Linked DNA regions of Lepisosteus oculatus. The protein of the gene in region 2 interacts with the protein of the main gene of each other region in a biochemical or structural test. Links are inferred from orthologs where the notes say so. Each region holds a gene or a part of one and is shown on either strand. Other genes may lie near its edges.

Region 1 (11,106 bases), on a different chromosome or scaffold from region 2:
CTTTTAGCAATGTGCCAAGTTCCTTGCTTGTGTTTTGATGTCAGAGTTTGTACTCATCTGGCTAAATCCCTAGAATTATTTCTCTGACTCCCAGGAAAAGTTCTGCCAGTGTCTTTCACTTTGACCTTTCTGATCAAAAGCTGTGGGAAGGAGGAAAAAAGCACAGCTTCAGGAACTTTAAAGCAACTTGTGTCATTGTTTTTACCAGTAGTGAAGCTTTTCACCAGCAGTCTGGCATAACGCCACAAAACTACAGTACAGTGTTTTACCAGCTTGCGTGCCCATTACAGCATGCTGTGAGTTGCTCTCTATTTCTGGTCATTTTAGAGATGCACTGCATGTGGCATCCATAAATAGGCCCTTCAAGCTGTTTTTCCATGCTCTTGAAAAAGTCTAACACACAATAATAAATATCACAATTGTTCATAAATCTTTGTCAGGACTCTATGTGTACAAACATAAAGTACATAGAAATTGGGTCAGATACTCTTTTGCACATTAAAATGAGGAACTCCAAATGCAGCTTCACTTTCCCATGCCTGAATATGGTGGGACACAGGCAGAATGCCTCCAATGTGTCAGTTACAATACATTGGCATTGCCATATAACCATATTTTGCTTCAGCAGTTGTCACAGAGCCCTTCTTAGTCCTCCTGCCAACCAATTTCCAGACAGTTGCAGAACGGAGCTCAAAGTAAAGATTACGAACTGCGAGACGTCCGACAGTCTTCTGGAGATCAAAGCGCTCTCCCTCGAAGTACAGTATGAGGATCATTCCAGCCTAACATCAAGGAGAAGGTGGGAACAAGAAGTTAAGCACTTTATATTTTGTTGCAAAAGAACAGGGTGGCATCGTGGCAGTCAGTGGAGATTCTGCAAGACTTCACCAGCACAGTGATAAAAATACAAAAACAATATTCTTACCAGCCAAGTCTTACTTATCCTCTCCAGACATTCTAAGGCACAGAAAGATGCAGGATATTTGACTATTATTTGAAGATGTTTTAAAGGTAGCTTTCTCACCTTCTTGAATCATGGGTTAACTTGACATTGATGGACTTTCATTCTGCTAGATATGCTTTAGCTGAAAGGGGCAGACTTCGAATGATTATTTTTTGCCAACCTGAATGTTTTATGTCAACATTAAAAATATAGATAAACAAAGATTGAACTATTCATACACTATTATTTTACTGGTTTTCAAAGTGTCTTTTTGGAACATTTACCTTTCTGACCAAAAGATGAAGTTCAATTAATTCACACAAAACTCTTAATGGAACCAACAGGCTGAAGGCTCACAACTAGCAGAAGGAGAGCTTTGCTACCAGTAATATTTTTTTCTGGTTTGTCGCTCTGTGTAAAAGAACTACATTATCTTTGCTCTGATGAGGAGTTAAAAATAAATGACAAGTGCCAAACCATCAAATCTACTGCCAATCACACCTCCCAACTGGAATAAAAAAAAAATCTTTAAAGCCTATCTCTAAAGATTGTCCCGGGACAGGTCACTTCAGAGGCTATAAATAAAGAAAAAGCTGAATCTCTAAACATGGCTTTACACTAGTTTGGAAATGTTCCACTGAGTATCGTACTGCTTCAAAATATCTTGGCACCACGTTGTTTTGGCTGGAGGTAGTATTAAATTCCTCTCTTCAAGAAGAATTAAATCTTAAACAACAATAGAAGCAGTAACCTCCACAGTGTCATAACAAACATAACGAAACCCAGAAACAGCTTCATCTTTAATTCCTTTTCCCTGGCAGGAAAAATACATAAAAATGGCACAGCACAGCAGGGAAGCTCTTTCGGCTATTGAATCTTAAGTTATGAGCACATGGCCAAAGTATTTCAGACTCAGTAACTATATTTAAAAAAAATATTTTAGAGTGTCTAACACAATAGCTCTTGATACCCACAATGGACACATTTCTGCAAAATTACTGTTAGCAACAACGTGGGCTTGCTTTTCCACACGCCATGTTTGAAGACAGATCAGCAGAAACTGTGCTGCAAAAGGATTTTTTCACTGTTGAAACATTTTTTTTTAAAAAGGAACCCGTCAATATTGTTTTAGTTTAAAGTTTAAGTTTAAAGTGGGCTTTTCATGCCTACATTATTTTGATCATTGAAGTTAGAAAAGAAGCTTCTAGCCCCATTTGTAAAGCATGATAATTCTTTTTAAAATGATAATATCTTCAAAGGTTATTTTAAGAGATGCAAAGCAAGCAGGAAAAGAAAGTCATGCCAAACAACTGCTGAATCATTGATCTACTTGTAGATATTGTATTTAATTTTTCAGGCTATTTGAATGTCCCTAATTGAATATAGGGTACAACATTTAAATGAACATTGAGAGTTGTTTTCAAACTCCTACAAAACACATACAAATTTGTATTACTGTTTAAAGTTTGCAGGTTTTCAAATATCTATACATATTTGTTATAGATAAAAATATAAACATATTTAGCTTCAATGAGCACTGAGTTGACTTCCCTGTTAATGTCTGAGTTATCCTTTCACTCAGCCTTCATTAGTGCTATAAATGGGTAGACTACCCTAAAGAGTATCTGCACAATACTGAAATGACAGATGTACAGTAATTAACAAGCACCAGCTGATTACACTGGTAGTTGTAGTAAAAACAATATTTCCTACACACGACCCACGCTGCTTCGTTTAGGTAGTCCAATGACACAGATCATCAGCTTCTTCGTTATTGCATTGCTTGGTGTGTCGAGACGTTAATTACGAGGTGATAACGAGGCAAGAACCAACATTTCTGTTTAGCGGCATCAACACACAGAGTTAGGGACTGTAATGCACAAGAAATTTTCATGCCACTGATGTTGTTGCTTATTAAGCAGCAAGATAACCCACTTCGCGGCAAGCAAATTAAAGTGACGCATTTGGTATGTTATGCTGTTTTTTTCTTCATGAAAGTCAAAGCTAGAAAGCCCTCAAGAATAACATTTTCACTCTTGTAAATATGCACAGTAGGCTTTTCAGAATCAGCATAGCCCTGCTAGAGAGAGGTATAATCAGTTGATTGAGTTTTCATCTCTCCTTCTAATTCTGTTAAAGGCGTGGGTGGCATTTATAGATGGGACTACCTACAGTACAGTTACCCGCTCCGATTAACAGCTGCACTGAAGAATCAGAGCTAAAAGTATTTTAAAGCACACGACCTCAAGATACAGTATGTTTATGAAGCCGCAACACTTAAACTTTACACTATTTACAGTGAGAAGCTGTACTTCAGGGACACCTTGGTGCGTTGTTTACATTTATTCTTCTAATGCTATTGAAACACCTATTCCTTCTAAACTCATAATAAACTACAAAACAGAATAAACAAGGCAAACTACTGTGTTGCCCGTCACTGTGATCTGCAATAATAATCAGAACCACCACCACAACAACAACAATAGTGAGTGAAAAATATTTACATTGTATTTCATAATATTTCAATATTATATTAGTAATATTTTAATGATATTTTTATATTGCATTACAAATGCCACATGATTTGCCACAATACAAAAAAACAACACAGATCTCTGCGGGGCGGAGTGACTGAAATGGACTGAAACAGCCTGCTGTCGCACCGGCCACGCTGTTGTCTGATCACGCATGCCGGCTCTGGCTCAGTCCTGCTGTCTCACAGAGCGGCGGTGGGGCAGTGCGGCGGTGCGGGAGCGGTGCGCCCAGGCGCCGACCCCCGCCGGACCGCGGACCGTCCCCTCCAGCCAGCGCTCCCGACCGCACGGCCGTTATCCTGCATCCCTCGCACCAACTTTTCTCCCACTTCTCTCTCTCTTTCTCTCAACTCCCAAGTTTTATCCGTGTACTCCGCGTATCCCGGCTTCAAAACACGCGTGAAAATGTCCCAGCTTGAGCTCTCTCTAACCACGCAGTCACCGATATTCGCCAAATACGTCTTGCTACCAATCACCCGACAAAACTTTTTTTGGGGGGGGGGTCGTCGTCGTAGCTGAGGTTCCCCAGAAAACAGACGGCGAAACACCCGTCTCACATCCGGACTTCAGAGTTTATATATATATACTGTATATTAAGTTAAGAAGCAAGCAAACGCCACCTTTACTTTTTTTTTCCGACCCAAAGATTTCAAAATGTAACGTACAGCTCAGAGCAGATATTTATTCTTCGCCTTTGGGAAAGCATATTAATAATAAGAGCCAGGGTGTCCCGTTATCTCGCGAATATTGCTTGAACGGTACAGTATGTACCGTTATCTTCCCCCAAACCCAAAGCTGCAATAAAGACAGCTTTTATCACTGCACACTTGCGTTGCTCTTCAGCTTTGCAGCAGAATAGGTAGCTAATTGTAACAACAATAAAACAATAAGCAGCCCACGTTGAGTTCATCTGATTTAAAAAAAAAAGCTCTATAGCTGGGTCTTTCTAGCTGTTCTTGTACCAATTTCGTGTAGCTGCGGATAATGGAAACGCACACCCCACAGAGAAAGGACGGTAAAGTTCAGAGGGGAAAAGAAGAAAATAACGTTACAGCTCAATACATGAAACAGCCCATTTCTGCATAGACTCACAGTGTGCAGAGAAGAGGATCGCAAATCCTGCCAGCCTTGCTTTCGCCATCTTGTTGAGTTGCTCAATGGATTATCTGCCCGTACATGCGCAAAATAGAGGGGGTAGCTTTCAGATGATAGGGAGGACCACTGGAGAGAGGGAGGGGAGAGTCTGTTGTCGAGAGTTTCCATAGCTACACGCATCGTTTTTAAGGACAGCCTTTCCCCAAAATTTACTTTTTTTCCCCTCCCAAACAGGATTAGTGGTTTTTACCGTTACAGTTCTTGATTTTCGTCTTATAGTTGTGCTGTAAATTATTTAGACGACATTTCTCACGAACTGGCTGATGAAAGGTTTTTTTAGGGGGCTTACAGGACATTTTCTTAAAGTCAAGTATTAACCTCTTCCTGCGGGAATATTTTTCTCGCCCGCAGTTATGTTTCAAAGGTCTAAAAAAGTGGCAGGCTCTTTACATTTATATAGATGCCTAGCGGATCTCACTAACCTAGTTCATAGCTTAATCTTCATAATCTTCATATTATGGACCAGAGAGTGTACATCAAGCTTATTTTATTGTTTCGATCAATTCTTATTGGACAGCACCTCAGAAATGTAAGGTGTGTGATCTTTTCCCAATTATAATTCTTCTTCAATAAACTACTTTAATCAATAGTTTTCAATTATTTGTTTTGATGTTTAATTTCTGCTGAAACAATGACACAGTAGACAGATAAGCACATTACCCAAAGATATATAATCACTTCTAATTATATCAAGGTAGTATAATTTTTAGTACTCTTACTGTCATAATATAGAAGATAGAAACTGTATACAGTATATGAGATTCATTTCACCCCCAGAGTTAAATGGTGTCGGCCTTAAACTGCAACCAGCAATAGACTCAGGCACACTGTGCCTAAGCAATAATTTGACTTGTCTTCAAATAATGCCAGACTGGAAAAAAATCCATATTCCAGGGATGAAGTGATGAGCAATATCTTTCAATATCTATTCTGTCCCATTGTATTTTTGAAAGGCTCTTTGAATCTCACATGGATTTAATCTCCACACAGCCACTAGCACAATAAAATGATAAAATTCTGTATGCAGAACACATTCTTTATATAATCTTGTACAAGATGTGTTTTAAAAACCTGCAGGACCTACAGTCCTTGTGTTTTATGGATCTGTCAGTGAAAAAGCAGCATCACCTGTGTATCTTTCCTCTTCAGTGTCCTACATTTGTTCAGCTTGCTGTAAATATACTTCTTGTGTCGGATTCAGCACTTTTAGTCATTTTGAGTGTTTATCTATGTCAATGTTCCAGCAGAAAATAAAAAAAGGAGAAAGTAAAAAGAAAAAAGAAAATTCTATGTTTGAATGTCACACCTTTAATCAAAACTATTGATCAAAGCTTGTAGAAGAAGAAAGGTTTTACATGGGAATAGATCACACACCCAACATGTTTTAGATGCTGACCAATGAGAACTGATCAAAACAATAAAATATGCAAATAATGACGCACATGCTCTAGTCAATAATTGAAGAACAAAGCAATATTTTAACCAGATTAGTGAGATCTAACACAAATGTACAGTACAACAGTACTGTATATCATGTTCATAGACCATTAAAACCAAGCTGCAGTGAAGACATCAAGAGTTCTTGGGCAGGAACTTGGTGAGAAATGTACTGTAGTCTCTCTCATTACAGTAAAACTTAAATGTCTGTCTTGTGCTGCGACACATTTAATTTTCTTATATTATGTTCTGGGTTCTTTTGCCCTGCAACACAGATTTTACCATCTCTTTAGCTACCTGTTAAAAAATTTAAACTGCTTCCATACAACGTCCTAATGACAGATGTGATAAGAATACTAAGAAAAAAGAATTTCTTGCTCTTAAAAAATTAATTAAGCATGTCCACCAAAGTAAGTTGTCTGTACCAGCTTTTTATTTCTGTCATTGGGATCTGGAGTCTTTTTCAATATTTCTTCTTTTAACTTCAGTTTATTAACATATATTCTGCAAGGAATAAGGTACTGTAGATATCAATTTCATTATTGGACTGATTGTTCAGAGCTGTCACTGATCTATTACTTGATTCAATTTTGGAGGAAATCCAGCACTGAGAAGAATAGCTGCTCAATCTTGCTCTAATGGCAGTTTATAGAAATGACTTATGTTGGCATACTCTGGGGATATTTCATTTAAGACTGTGATGTAAAATATTTTAGTATGGTAGGTTTTGCCATCAGTCTCACTCCGGTTTTGCTTCCAGCATTCATGATTGGTTTGGCAGGGGCCTGCTGTTTTCTTAAGCTGGTACTTTGAATTATTGCCTGCATTGCATTTCATTATTTTCTTGCAACACAGATTCTGTTTGTTTTGTAACTTTTGCTTTGACCACTGAGCTCACTAGTTTTCACAATATTATGTTCAGTATACAGTATACAGTTGTTTTTTTTTACATTTTGCCTTTGAAATATTTTCCGGAATGGCACACCTGTGACTTCAAACAAGACCTATACTTCATTTCAGGAAGCGCTATTTTACTGATTTAAAAAATAGCTCTGTTAAATCCAGATCATGAAATGTTTTGATTAAACTTTGATGATATGGTCCAGTGATAGAGAAATAAAACTAAAAATGTAAATATACTACGACTTATTAAAATAGACATGAGTGAGTGATAACGTTATTAGTTGAATTAAACAGGTACGTATGCAGTCTTCAGTTCTTATAAACTGTAGAAAGGGTCTTTGCCAGAGCAGGTAAAAAACAGTTTTTTGTTGCATGCTGGGAAAAGTATGCTTGCATAAACGAACACACTTTCCTTGTGGGAAAAAAATTCAAAAAGCCTCAAAATGAAAGGTGTAGTGGCTTCTTCAGAGCTCGCACCATGGGAAGGCTAACAACTGCAGATCTTAATCTGTCGACACAGCACAGGGCTGATGACACAGTGTCCCGAGAAATGCTCCAACTTTCTCAGGCTTAGGAAAACCTCTCTGTGACACAAGTTATCTGCACAGACACGGTGGGTGGCATCTGAGTGAGAGGGGCATCTGTTGGCCTGAGGCAAGGATCGACAGAGAAATTCAAAAACATTGAAGGGAGAGTGGCAGTGGGGAGAATGAGGATGGTGTCAGCAGGGGAGAAGCAGAGGGAGAGGAGTCACAAAGAAAACTCACATGAGAAACAAAACTGCAAAGGACTGGGTAATTAAGTGCTCGTGAAGTGAACCTAAATGCCATTTATCATTAGGAACAAAATCCAAGAAGAAGAAGGGGCTGCCTTAGTGTGTGACTTAACTGGAATCACGAAACTTTCTGCTAACAGAATGGCAATGAATACAGCATGAGTGGATACGCAGCGTTCAGAAGATGAGGCAGCTGAAAAAGGTGAAGACGATGGCACTGCTCAACAAAATAGCATCAAAGGACAAGGAACTAACCCAGATCAGTAGTTTCAGCGCTGAGCCTGCTGAAAGCCTGTCTGCTGATTTCAGGTCCAGCTGACCTCTTACTCACTGATAACTAGCACCTTTAATGTATCTGTTTCTCCTGCAGAGGATCGGCTGGTCATGTCTGAGATATTGTGCTGGCAGATAGTGTGCTGGCAGAGTCCAAAACCAAGTTTACAATTTCAGGAAAGCAGACAATGAAGAAATGAGATATGATAAAATAGATATTGAGATCCAGAGAAAGGATGCCCACAGTTTAAATACTGTATATTCTGCTTCAAGCATAAAGAAGGAACAAAATGAACTTAATGCACTGGTAAAAAGGATTTTTAAAAAGGTCAAGAGAGAAATAGAAAATAATATTGTAATGGAGGCTGTAATAAAATCAGAAAAAGTTTTCAATATTACAGAGGCAAAAGCAAAATAAAGAATGAGGTGTCTCTGAGATAAAAATGAGAAACCGTAAAAACAATAAGAAGGAAATGGTTTATATATATTAAGGTGTTTATTGAGGTGTTTACTAAGAAAGAAAATGCCAACATGCCACAGACTGAAGGAATCTAAATCGAAATCTGTCTATTAAATAATATTAGTATGGAAGAAAGTCACTCACTAGAAACCTTTGTAAAAGTAAATCATCAGAGCCTCCACAGGAGGTAGCAGTTCACAGTTGTACTTACTTAATGAAAGTATAAAGGAAGCAATGATATTCATAGACTGTTAATCAAACTTTTCCAACAGTTGCTCAAGACACACACTGATTGGAATTGTTAATGTTGCATCCAGCCATCCAAAGAGTGACAAAACCAAATCAAGTAATTAAAGATCAATTAGTTTTACTTCTATTGTTGTAAAATTCTGAACATGTTAATTCAAACTAAACTAGAAAATTACTTGCATGGATAGTCAGTGTCTAGGGTTACTCAGCTAGTCAGAGTTTTCTGAGTAAGCCATACCATAATTGATAAAAACACATCATACAATACAGTATATTTAGATATTCAAAGGATTATTATAATGTTTCCCATAAAAGAATAATTCTCATGTTGCAGGTGGTAGGTATTCAAAGGTTATAAAAATCAGGTCTGAAAATTAATTATTTTAGTTTCAAAGTTTGTTATTTGAAGGTCTTCTGAAATCAAAATCTACATTTCGTATACGTACTGTATAAAGCACAGAACGTTTTTGCATTTCTTCATAAAATTAAATTTCGTTGACTAAACATCTTTATACAGTAGAGCAAATTGTTAACTATCTTTTGGGATAATAATTGGGATCATTGTCATGTTCATTTACTCCATGGACTTGAGTCAAAGTGGCAGGAAAAGAAGGGTTGGATGAGACGTTGACTCTCAGGACATTGTCACTGCCCGTGTGGGTGGCTACAGTGGGTGGACGCCTAAGGGACAGATGTGGCCTATTTCCTTGAAAACTGTGGAGTCTTAGCTTGAGATCACATTGACTAATATTCCTCTGCGTAGGTCAGGGAACTCCAGTTTCACACGTGTTTTTTCAGATTTTATTCTCATGTAGCAAACACATACTGTACTGTAGCAACTCACACTAAAGCTGACCACCTGAGAGTCATGAAAATGTCACTGCAAACACTATTAATTAGGACTGGCAATGCTCATGTTGCCTTCAGCTTGCTGTCCTCGCTCATATTTTCTTCATTTCATACTGTTTTCAATCAAAAAAACAAGAATTAAAGGTTGACTTTAAAATGAAGTTTCCAGAACAGCTCCACTCAAAACAAGAATAAACTCACTGATTGTTGCCTACAGCCTAAATTGTTATCATGGCCATCAGTTCCTATATCTAATGGTATATGAGAAATGTACTGCAAGTTAGACGTGCTCCTTTTACAGCGTTATTTCAAGCACTAGCAGGGGGAAGAGGAACAGTTGACTTTCATGGTTGAATACAACAGTTTTTGAGGGTTTTGCCTTGAAGGGCATTTGAATTTTTTAGCAGTTTCTCTGAGTGTTCATTTAAAAGGAAGCAACACTGCTTTGTTCTGAATCACTTTTTCTCAACTGAAAGCAGGAAAAAGGTCAAGTTACAAATATCCCCAACAGCTTGGACTCTGGGAAAGGGCTGTATTCACAGTTTACAATGGCGTGTTCCAAAGAAGGCAGATGAAGTTCATTTCATTAAAACAGTAGTTCCCTTTTTAATTTTATTTACATTATACAGTACAGGACTCAGCCTGGGTCTTTCCACATAATCTTTCTCATACTCCTAGGTTGTGTCTTCCGTGAGCCTGCGTAAGCAAAATGTAGTTAATAATATAATAATAACATTACTTTATTAACCCTTTACAATTTCTTGCATTAGGAATAATCTTTTCGCATACCCCAACTTGCTCTCCATGAGACACACAGACACACAGATAGGGAGAGAGCCTGGGGTCAGAGCGCAGGGTCTGCCATAGTACAGCACCCCTGGAGCAGTTGGGGTTAAGGGCATTGCTCAGGAGCCCAGTGGAGTAGGATTCCCCTGCTGGCTGCGGGATTTGAGCCGGCAACCTTCCAGCCACATGCGCAGATCCTTAGCCACAGAGCCACTGCTCCACCCTAAAAAAACAGATAAATAAGAAAACTAACATCCGTTTGCCTGTAGTATTAATAACTAGTCATTTGCAAAGCATTATAGAGAATATCAGTTATAGAAAGCAAATATGTAACCGACATGATTAACACAGGATATATTAAAGTTCATTTCTAGGATATATAAACTTCCTATTTTAATATCTGTTTAACCCATGGGCATTTTGGTTATTGTTAGTTGAACCTGTCTAGTTTTGGGTGTTATGCAGGATATAAATCAGGTCTGACAATTGTGGAGGTCACAATCAGAAATCCTTCGGAACAGATCCTGGATGAGTACAATGGGAAACTAAATTAGAACAACAAAATATTTTGACTTCTGCGTCTCCCGATGGCAGACACATCCCATGGGATTTTGTGACGACAGCACCACACTGTGAAGTTAACAGGGAAGAACTGCCTTTATCTTCCTCCTGGCAAACGTACATAGGGTTCCCAAATGTACAGTAAGTCAAACAGATACAAACATTCCTTTATTCCACTATC
Region 2 (11,068 bases):
AAACACGAGGTGGGATAATGTACACACGCAGTCCGGAAAATCAAATATGCATGTCTTTTGGGAATGGGCAGAAAATGGGGCAGCTGGTGACAACCCACACTTACACGGGGAGAACATACCAGACATGAACCCATGACCCACTATGAGAATGCCATCATTATCATGCTTAATAATATTTTTTTTAGCATTTTATTGTTACTACTTACTCCACTTCCACTGATAAGACGTTAGCTAGCTAAATGGACAAGTTTAAACAGTCTTCTGAAATTAAACAACACCTGAAGAAGGTTCCACAGCCGAAACATTGTCTAACCTTTTTCCTTCAGCATGGAAGGAACCTTTACTTGTTCCTTTGCAGTCTTCTGAAATGCTTTCGATCTCTGATAAAGCAAGTCCCAATCATCCATTTTCTAACAGCTTCATCCAATTCAGTAAAGCAAGAGCCTTTATTGTTAAAAGTTCAACTTGACAGAATCCAATGGCTTTGATGACGTTGAATGATGATGACAGCATTCCAGAAAATGCAGAGGGTCATGGGATTAGATGACCAATTAGTAATCAAATTTTAAGACCCATAGCCAATCTGAGATAACCATGGGCTTTTAGGATCATTTACATTCTAGGAACTTACACGGTCCAATCAAGTTGTATGTATGTACCTTTCCCCAGAGAAAAAACGCTACAGGTTACAGCTTCTTTGTATATTATTTTGACATCGACTAACCTTTTTGTTCAGAACGTCTTAGTTTCATCAAAGCAATGTGAGAGTTTCCTACAGGATCAGAGTGGTAGGATTCTCCTAGTTACTCTCTCCAAAGGGTTAAGAAAAGGCAGACCCCATGGCTTCCATTACAACGTTAATACACCCCTGGTACTACATTGCAGGTTCAGAATGAAAATTCTTGGCTCTTTTCAAAACACACAAGGAAATGCCTTATGTATGAGGTCTGAATGTATGGTTTACTTGACTGTCATTTCTTAGGAATTCACCAAGTAATTTTTGCACAATTTTCCAAGCAAATACTTCTTCCAAAAGCAATGCAAGCTTCTGGCAATACCATCTTTAGCTCTGATACAGTATCTGGAACCCAGAAAAGGATTTAAGGACAAGTCTGCAATATAAATAATTTCACAAGTCTGTAACTGCTGAAAATTGCATGTTACATGCATTAAACATTAAATCATTCTGTAGTCATTTATTATAGTTATACAGTAAATAAAAAAACGTATTTGACATCTCCTTCCTCTAATTGAAAATCTCTCAATGTAAGCACTGTCAATAGATTATCCCAATAACTCTGGCAGTGAATCTCTGATTAAAATAAAAGTCAATTTTAGTTCTTAGATATGTGAACTTATGATTGAATGTTCAGGTTCACAACTTAACCCTGAACACATTGTGTTCCTATCTTTAATAGTAAAATGTATGAATCAAGTACTTGGTGAAACAGAAATTTGAATTGTGTTTGCACATGGAAGTACATAAAATCTACTATAACAGTCAAGTCCAATAATTTTGCAGCATTGTGATATAATTGGATGCTGCTTATAGTGTAGTTTCCTTGCACTGTTTTTCATGCTTTTTAATTTTGTGTATTTATAAAATATAGCTACTTTGATGCAAGACAAAGTTCAGAGAAATCAGACAAAGTACTATGATTTAATTAACTCAAAAGCACAAAAGGTTTTTTAGACAGGAAGGCTTGGTGAATTCTATAACCATATTACAATTTTTAGTTTAAAAAGTCACACAACTACATGAATGGCCTATTCAGTAATAATCGTAGTCCATATAATTTAACAATAAATATTACTGTCTCTATAAGGACCTGCATTCAGGTAGTGCATCTGAGGCAAAGATTCAACTATCAAGCCTAAGTAGCTTTCAAAACAACTACAGATCAGAAGAAGGATATAAAAACACTGGAAAAACTCTTAATATCTCTTTGAGCACGGTGAAGTCATTCATTAAGAAGTGACAAATACACAGTACTCTGCCCCAGGCTTCCTGTCCAAACTGAGTCAAACAACAGCACCTTTGAAAGAGCTACAGAGTTCAATGACTGAGACAGCAGAAAATGTCAATGTGTCAACAACCTCCTAGTCACTCCACAAAGCTGGTCTTTAGGGCAAAGTGGCAACCCATCTCAAGTCATGGGGTGTACAACAAAGTGTTTAAGTAATATTGCAAACACGAGGCAAAAGGTTTTGTGGTCGGACAAGGTAAAATATAGGCTCTTTGTTCTAAATGCAAAAGCTCTACACATGGCATGAATCCAGCACAGGATGTCACCCAGTCAGCACCGTTTCTACTGTAAGGCATGGTGGTGGCAGCATTATGATATGGGGGGGCTGTTTCTCATCAGTAGGGCCTGGGAACCTGTCAAGATTTTGTTTTTGCGGGTTTTATTGACAAAACGTCTTTCACTCATAGACAAGTTCAGTAGGTGAATACTTCAGCATGGCACAGTATGTGGCTGGAACTTGCATCGGAGACTCAAGTTCTTGAGTTATGAAATGTGATGTAACCAACACAACCCAGTGCTCTGCAAATTTCCCTCAGTGCCTTCCTACTCGTTTGTTTTCTTTGGCGGTGCATATTGAAAAGGCAATGCTTCAAGCATCTCTTTCCCTGGAAACCTGATTCTAAATGCTTTAATGAAAATCCCCGCCATTAAAGCTAAAACGAGAAAGAATCAACAATGTCCAAATTCAAATACTTGAAAAAAATGTATTGCCACCTTTCTTAACCAAGGAGATTGATTCTGTATTACTGCAGCATGGATGTCCAAGTGTTGTTAGGAGATGGAAAAGTATGTTTCTATAGTCACCTCCCTTCATTACCTCAAGGTTTTGTGACAAAAACCTTTATTACTTAAATACACACATTTCTCCTTCTGACATAACTACTGTATTTTAAACTGATATAAATGATCAAACACTTCAGTACTCTAATAGGAAGGTGTCGCTTTACAGGAGACAGAAATGTTTAAACAACTGGCAAATGAAATTCAGAACTGCAACAGGCTTTCCTAATCCTAAAGACAGGTAAAAGCTTCCATTCATGAGGTTCAAACAGGGTAAAATTGTTTGAAACCTCTTTGAAATTAATCGGCTTGAATTTCTTTACGGCTATTTTACAAGCTCCCAACCCTCTGAAATGTTTCAATAATAATGTTGCGAGGGTGTACAGTAACTGAAACCGCTTTGTAGCTGTGATAGGGCAGTTACTCCGATACTCGAAAGTACTTTTAAACAGTAACTAGACTTCAGTCTCTGCCTCTTGAAGCTTATAACCACTAGCAGTTTAAGTGCTGCTTTTTTCTTGTTAGCTAAAACAAATATCATGAATTGTTTACAACGGATCTGTTAACTTCCTAAAGAAAATGACTCGCTATATTAAAAAAGACCTACTTTGTAAAATATTCTTCACAGAAAAACAAACGCTCCAAATGATGCTCTGTGGTTAAACACTGTTCTGAATGGGTATTGTAAAGTAGAAGATACTGCTAGAAAACAAGTGCACTTTCAAAATGTTACTCTTCACTTTACATACCAGAATTGTCTGAAAAAATTATATCATTCAGCAGGGTGATGTTTTATCATATTTGGATGTACTACAACAAGGAAGATACCGGTATTAAGAATTTGCTACACAACTAAGCGATATAATATGAAGTAGTGCTTTGGAAATCCATGTGTGTGTGACATAAACCAAACTGTAGGTATTTAGCCGATAGCCGACTGCTACTTGTAATAACTTCCCCATGAAACTCATTGCTGTCCCGATGTTATGTCGCCAGAAACAGCACACTGGAGTGTTACGTGATCGCACCAGTAGACATATTTTAAAAAAAACTAAAATAAGGAATTCAGAACAAATCACTGCTACTTATTCCCCCCTCTGCAACCTTACAAACCTGGGCGAACAATGATAAATGGCAGGGTTTTGGAGTCGCAATTCAGTGTCTGTGTAACTCAGTATTCCTGGAATACTAACCAGTGTCTTTACAGATGCAGTTTCCCTCCCTATCCTCCAGGGCCTGGTGTATTCAGGAAGCCTGGGGCTGGATTTGAAGCTTTTTAGCTTGTTTTGTTTTTATCTATTCCACATGAAGTATTCCCAACTTAAACCATAAAAATAGTGTGAGCATTAAAACGTATTTATTTCTGCGCATTTCGTTTTCAAAACATATGTGCAAATACACGCACCCTTTGATTTCGGCTGGTCCCTAACCAATCTACCTCCACTGTAAACTGCGCTTGAACAAAGCGATAAATAAGCTCACTGCATTTAAAAATATATTGACCATGAATAAAGTACTCGCGGTCGTATTAGGAAACTGATTTTTGCCAAATAAAACCACGTAACCAGCTTAAAGTTTGAAATCTGCAATTTGAAGGTTTACCAGTAATAGACAACGTTCAAACATGGCTTTTAAAAAGTATTAAATTAACGGTAGCTTTCAGAAAAATCTAAATCGTTGCTTAAAATACATTTTACCAAACTCGCCAGTGCGCCAATCAAAGAAAAACTGTCCCTTTAAATAACGTTCAAGTAAGGAACTTTTGCGGGTTTACAACAGCCGGGTCCCGCCGCACTTAAAACACAAAAAAAATATACAAAACTGTTAAATCTGACTACTACGCTACAACCCAGACTAACCCTGAAGTCGCTTCTTTCTCAATCAGCGCCCGTCTATCTCTACAAATTAATCAATAGACCTTTAGGATTTCCCTTCCTTCTCTTTTTTCTCCCAGAAAAGCGCCATATTGAGCTTGCCGCACCATTCCTTGGGTTACAACATTGTTTCCAATGGGGAATTTTTTAAAGCACCAAAGCACAATACGAAGTAAAGAAAACTTACCTTCGCAATAGCTTTTTTGTATCTCATCACGGCTTGTTGAATAAGGCTGTGAACTTTAATATTTCCATCGCCACACGGAACCACCACCCTGGTCCTTCCAAAACACACTGTCACTTTCATAGTTACCGATATTTTCCACAAATCCCAAATCCAGAAGAAAAATAAAGGTGTAGTTTTCGTATGTAAAACCCTCCTTGGGACGTATTTCCTTTGGACTTGCAAAAAGTAGATCCAAAAGAGAGAGAAACGCGAAGCTTTTCACCTTTTCTCCATGGTCGCTTTTTTAAGATGTGTGTTTCTGACCACCTGTTTAATGTTTCTGCGATCCTACTCTGATGTGCTGGCTAAACTGAAGCAGAAAAGAACTGAACTGGGAAACCATCTCCCCACCCTGGTCACTGCGAGTATTGAAGCTCTTGAAACTTCACAAGCAACCTCATTTCACATACTGTATACTGTAAGTCTCGGGAGTGTCGTTGCCCCCTCCTCTTTAATAAAGATGATAGGTAAAATATGTTATCAGTTTATACACAAGTACAGAACTCAAGTGGCTTATAAACTATATTTGCTCTTAAAACTGTGATTACTATGCTAAGCATCCCTTTAAAACTGTTGATATATCACTCCAAATGAGTTAATCAGCTAACACGAAAATGCAATCTTTTTGTACACTTAATGCCGATTATTATTTGGATTTAACTAATCTAATTTCTTAATTTATGTATATGTAACTAAAACTTGTTTTGTTTAGCTTTAAACCAACTGAGCAGACATGAACAGAACATTTTTAGTTTTCTGACGTGAACATAGCCCGTTGAATATATCTGCATAAAAGTAATGCAATAAGCCACTAAAGCTGTTACACTGTAGCTTACCGCGAAATATTATCATTTATCAGGACTGCAAAGTCTGCGAGTCGCGTTGGGTTACAATGTACTGTATAACGCTTGAAAACCTAAAAGCTAGCGCAAGGAACTGTTTTTTAACTGTCACAGATGTACATTATTAATTATTATTATTATTATTATTATTATTATTATTATTGAGCGCAGATGTCTTGTTCTACACGGAGCAGCGGTTGGCGTATTAGTATTAACCTATTGGCGACAAACCTGTTCGAGCAGAGGAAATGGTGGACAACTATCAATTTTTTGTTCAGCAAGTTAAAATTAGGTCTCTCTGTGCAACAGCAGACCCACCAACATATAATAAACAGTTTTTTTTTTCAGCACAGGCTTTCAGTCTCAATTTGGTAAAAACATTATATGGAAATGCAATTGATATTCATCAATCTCAATCACGCCAGCGGTTGCATTCCTGGTTTTTGAGGGCCGCTAGTTTCCTTCCACCTGACACTTCACGTGCTTAATTGAGTTAATTAGCGACTACATCACTGGATATGCTTACGAAAGTAGTCATTTTTTAAACAAGTTTTAAACACACAAAAGCTTTCCACAACCTCAGCCCTCGAGGGGCAGTATTGCTCATTACGAATACAAACGTGCAAAACTAATCGATGTCAAAACGCACACACAGCGCCAAACCTACAGTAACTAGCAGCTATTTAACTGTTCATCGTTTTCACGCATAGTCGTTTTTGACCAGACTGAATCCCTGCACCCCTGTGGATTCAGTCTCTGGGGAAATCAATTGGGTAAAAGTATTTACAAAACTTAAATAATATGATTTTTAAAATCTGTTTCTTTGATAAAGCAATCGTAAAGTATATTTAAAAACTCTAGATAACCCAACAGAATTGAAACTGTTTCAATTGGAAGTGCCATGAACGGTGTTATTGAGTCATATAATGTGCTAAAACTATTTCATACTGTCTTTCAGGTGTTGTAGTTATATTTAGTGTGGTTAATAAGCTGTGAAAAGCTTGTGATATATGGATTCTTTGAGATAAACGGTGTAACTCAATGACACAATGGAAGGTACAAATGATATAAGACATTTGATGAAGATGAAGTTGTACATTTAGCTGATCGATCTTCAACTTATTCAACATACCTAATTTTCTAGTCACTGATGCTGCTTCTCCTGCATCCCCTGGTTGAAATACACTCATCTACAGTATGTGTCGCATTAAAATAAGGTAACAAAATTCAGACGAACAGAAGCCTTCACTTTGTCGGCAAAGGTTTTAGCATTTCCACAGGTAAACTAACGTGCAGAAACCACACAGTTGACGAAACTTTTAGAATTAGGCAATATTTTCACCCCATAAAAAATGTAAGAATTTATAGAAATAATAAAATATTAAATAAAATATAACATTTATTTATATTAATACTATAATAAATTAAATGCTTGACTTGATAAATTCAAAATTGAGTTCTCACAGGATGACTGCCAGCATTTCTGGTATTGTTTTTGCCTCCAAGCTGTATGCACAAGAGTACAATTGCAGTTATTTTTCTTATTGGATTTGTACATGCATTTTGCTATTTAAATTCTGTCTTAAGGTCCAATTCCACGTTGCAACCTTATTGGAGTATTTCTTTTTTATATTCTGCCTTTTCCACAATGGAAAATCAATTTGCTCCTAACTAACATTGTTTTCAGCTAAACTGTGCCAGCAGGAGGAGATGGGCTTTTTTCAATGACGGTGGATGTCACTTTAATTCAAATCTGAATATCTGTGCTCGTCAGCATTAAAGCAGAACACATTTTAAACATTTCCTCGTTTAAGACTACGCAACAAAAAAATCCCTTTTCAACCTATCAAGTACATATTGTACTTAAGTGTCCTTCAAGTATTTATTGCCACACTGTTCTTTGCAATCTATCTTCAAGGGCACTGGAAAATAAGAACGATGACCAAAACTTCACGTTATCAAGACATGATAGAAATGCTTTATAAAGTTGAACATTGTGCTTCCTTTAGCTTCTTTTGTTCAGTCCCATCGCACAGTGGATCTATTAGAGAAGTGACAAATTCCTCCATCAGCATTACTTCAATAGGAGGTTCATTCACGTTTGATGAGATTGTCCTAGCCCAGAGTGGGATTTAGCCAGGACACCGGGATTAACGGTTTTACTCTTTCAAAAAGTGGTAGGGGATCTTCAGTGACCGACCATGTAATCAGGGCCTTGATTTCACATCTTGTCTGAAGCATAGCACCTGCTACTATGTTGTGGTTGTGACCCCAGTCAAAATACTGCATTGGTTTGGAAATTCAGGTCCAGAGAAAGAGTGTTACCTACTTGTCTGTCGGCACCATTTGGATCTCCTTTGAGGCCTCCCATTCCAGCTGTTCTTGGCTCAGGCTACAAAGTGGTATTGCTTCTGTCAGGATCCCAAAGTGCCTTACACCGACCCATTTAATCTACTAACTAAAGTGCAGCATGCACCTAGGTGACATGTAGCCGTATTATGCATCAGAAGCCCCAGTCACAGGTGTAGAAGGGAGAAATTACCAGTTGAATAAAGGTGGAATTGTGGACAGACCAGAGTGGAATTGTACGCAGGACAGTGAGGTTCTAACACCTGTTCGTATGAGCTTCAGTCTCACCTGAAGGGCAGCATCTCCCACAACACAGTGATCCCCATTCTGGAGCACTGGTTTGGAACATGTGGACCAGAGGGGAGAGTGCCACCTAGTGGTTCTCCGGCACCACTTCCAGTAGCAAGCTGGTTTTTTCTTTGAGGTCTCCTATCCCAATACAGACCAGGCCCAGTCTTGCTTAGGTAATGAGATCTCACAAGATCAGGCTAGAAGCTGGCAATGCTGCCCAAGAGTAAAATTACCTCCATAAAATACATTCACATCCTTAATTATTTAAAGCTGTAACAGAGCAATGTAAAGAGATTCTGGTTTTATCATAGTGAACACAGTTTCAATATACCGTATTATAAAATAAATTTGATAACATTAGGCAAAATGAAGTAATTATTGCTGAGAAACCAAAGTGTAACATTCTCCATAATTATAGTATACTGTAGCTTTAATAGTTCCTCTCCCTGGAGTGATTTAGGACCAGACAGCAAGTTACTGAACCACATAAATAACATCTGGAATCAGAATTTGTATGCTATCATGTGACAGGGAACCTTCCAAATGGCTTAAAATTATCAGGTATAATCATATAGAGAGATGCACTCAGAATTCACAAGAAAAAAAATAAAATCATTGACAGTTGTTAGCTGTGCATGAGGTTCTCTGAATGGAGTTGTAATAGAGAGGTAGAAAGGGTGATTTGGGCACTGGGACAAGTGGGAATAAACAGTAGAAATACTGCATTGATGTGTTAATTGGCACTAATAGTTAACCAGCGGTTGCAAATTACTACCTGAAATGAATCTTTTTGCACTTATTGCACATGCGTACCACCCATACACTCAAAAAAAGTATTTTTCAAACTCAGCAGCTGAGATTTTATGTCACTAGCTAACTGAGCACATACTGTACCATACATAACATTACTCACACTTTAAACAGAGATCAGGTTTGCTGATTGTTTGAGTGGTACCGTTCTTATGCAAAACTAAATCATGTCAAGCAATTCCATAATAACACTAGGGGCAAAGTGTTTAGCATTTGAGTTTGAATTCCCCAAATTTATGAAAGACCTGCATAAACAGACATTCATTTAATTGATGGTAAAACCATGAAAGATACGATTATGTCCTGTTTGAATAATGAAGATCACCTGGTTGCTATTGATCTGCTTGAAGATGACCTATCTGCGAGAGACGTTTTCAAGAGAAAGAGATGCTCCACTTCAACAATCAGCAGACTCCCTCAGAGATACCAGGAGGCCAGGGAACCAGCTCTGTGGGCCAGGCCAAGTCCAGGAAGGTCAGAACACTAGTCCAAGACTGCAGGAACTGCAGAAAATCTTGACTAATTAGTCATCAGTATATTGGATTATCAAAGGTGTTGCTCTCTTGATAAGTGGGGCATATTAGTTTTTTTCTGGTTTTCTTATTGTTCACAAGGCTTGACATTCAACGGATAATTCACATCATCTCCTGGGGCCAGTCAATTCTCATTAATGAGGTTTATGTAGTTTTTATGTAATAGTCAGAGACAAGTGATGGCATCACTGTTAGAAATGAATGATCAGTTAATGAAAAGGCTGTCAAACACATTTCATCACTATCCCAAACTGACATAATTTATTATCTAAGAACATAGATGCATTAATATAAGAAGTTGCTTCTGATGTCTGGGATATGCCAAAAAGATTCTAGTATTATCAAAAACACAATTCAACTTTGTCAGACCTTATGGATATGATGAAAAGTTGATATTGTACTGCCTACAATCTTACCCCTCACAACAGAAATCAAACTTGTCCCCAACACACATTAAGGACGTGCATAACCCTTTGTGTACAAATCTTCCCCTGGCTGTTAGTTGTAAATATTTCCCCCCAGTTTCAACCTGTGCCTTGTGGTTTGTATTTCACAGATGGATCTGTAGTCCAAAAGGCTGACTTTGTCAGGGCCTTTGAAGACTATGGCCAGGGATTTGAACTTGCCTCTACTTGGCCCTATACCAAATGGTTGCATGTCACACATATTTACTTCAAACAACTGACTACTGGCTGGATCAATTAATGGTAACTGAACCTTGAAACTGTCGCAATGGCAAGGGAATTCAGAACAAAATTAACAAATGCTTACAGTTAAAAAAAAGCTGAGGTAAAAGGAATCCACACTTTCTAAGACAAAATAATTGTGAATCATTGCTTAAGATTCTTCTAATATAGCTCGTATTTGTTTTGGACACGTACAGTATATAGTCATCGGACTTAAAACGCAAAGAATGTTAGTACTAGATTCACTGACAGCTTCCTAGGGTTTATTTGAAGTTTTAAGGGTTCAGAGCTCATATTTACTCTTTATTTTACTTGCCAGTAGCCATATCACTCTGCAACTCACAACTGGCAACCCACTGAAGCTCAGCAGGTGTGAGCCTGGTCCGTACCTGGATGGGAGACCTCCTGGGAAAAACTGAGGTTGCTGAGAGAAGAGGTGTTAGTGGGACCAGCAGGTCCATGTGGGTCCTAATGCCCCAGTATCATGACGGAGACACTAGACTGTAAAAAGGCATCGTCCTTCAGATGAGACATAAAACCGAGAGGCTGACTCTTTGTGGTCATTAAAAATCCCAGGGCGTTTCTAGAAGAGTAGGGGTGTAACCCTGGTGTCCTGGCCAAATTTCCCATTGGCCTTTACCAATCATGGC

Evidence for each region.
Region 1: the proteins of pard3aa (region 2) and jam3b form a complex in vitro, tested with the Homo sapiens proteins (2 studies listed by BioGRID and IntAct, with this or other methods). The link is inferred for Lepisosteus oculatus from reciprocal best matches to the Homo sapiens genes PARD3 and JAM3.

The regions. Positions count from the first base shown.
Region 1 is NC_090718.1:7,929,312-7,940,417, forward strand, and holds the start of jam3b (junctional adhesion molecule 3B), read right to left. Parts: upstream 4,673-11,106; 5' UTR 4,619-4,672; coding exon 4,570-4,618; intron 1-4,569. UniProt on the Homo sapiens protein: Junctional adhesion protein that mediates heterotypic cell-cell interactions with its cognate receptor JAM2 to regulate different cellular processes. Plays a role in homing and mobilization of hematopoietic stem and progenitor cells within the bone marrow.
Region 2 is NC_090701.1:38,415,855-38,426,922, reverse strand, and holds the start of pard3aa (partitioning defective 3 homolog), read right to left. Parts: upstream 5,239-11,068; 5' UTR 4,989-5,238; coding exon 4,869-4,988; intron 1-4,868. UniProt on the Homo sapiens protein: Adapter protein involved in asymmetrical cell division and cell polarization processes. Seems to play a central role in the formation of epithelial tight junctions. Targets the phosphatase PTEN to cell junctions.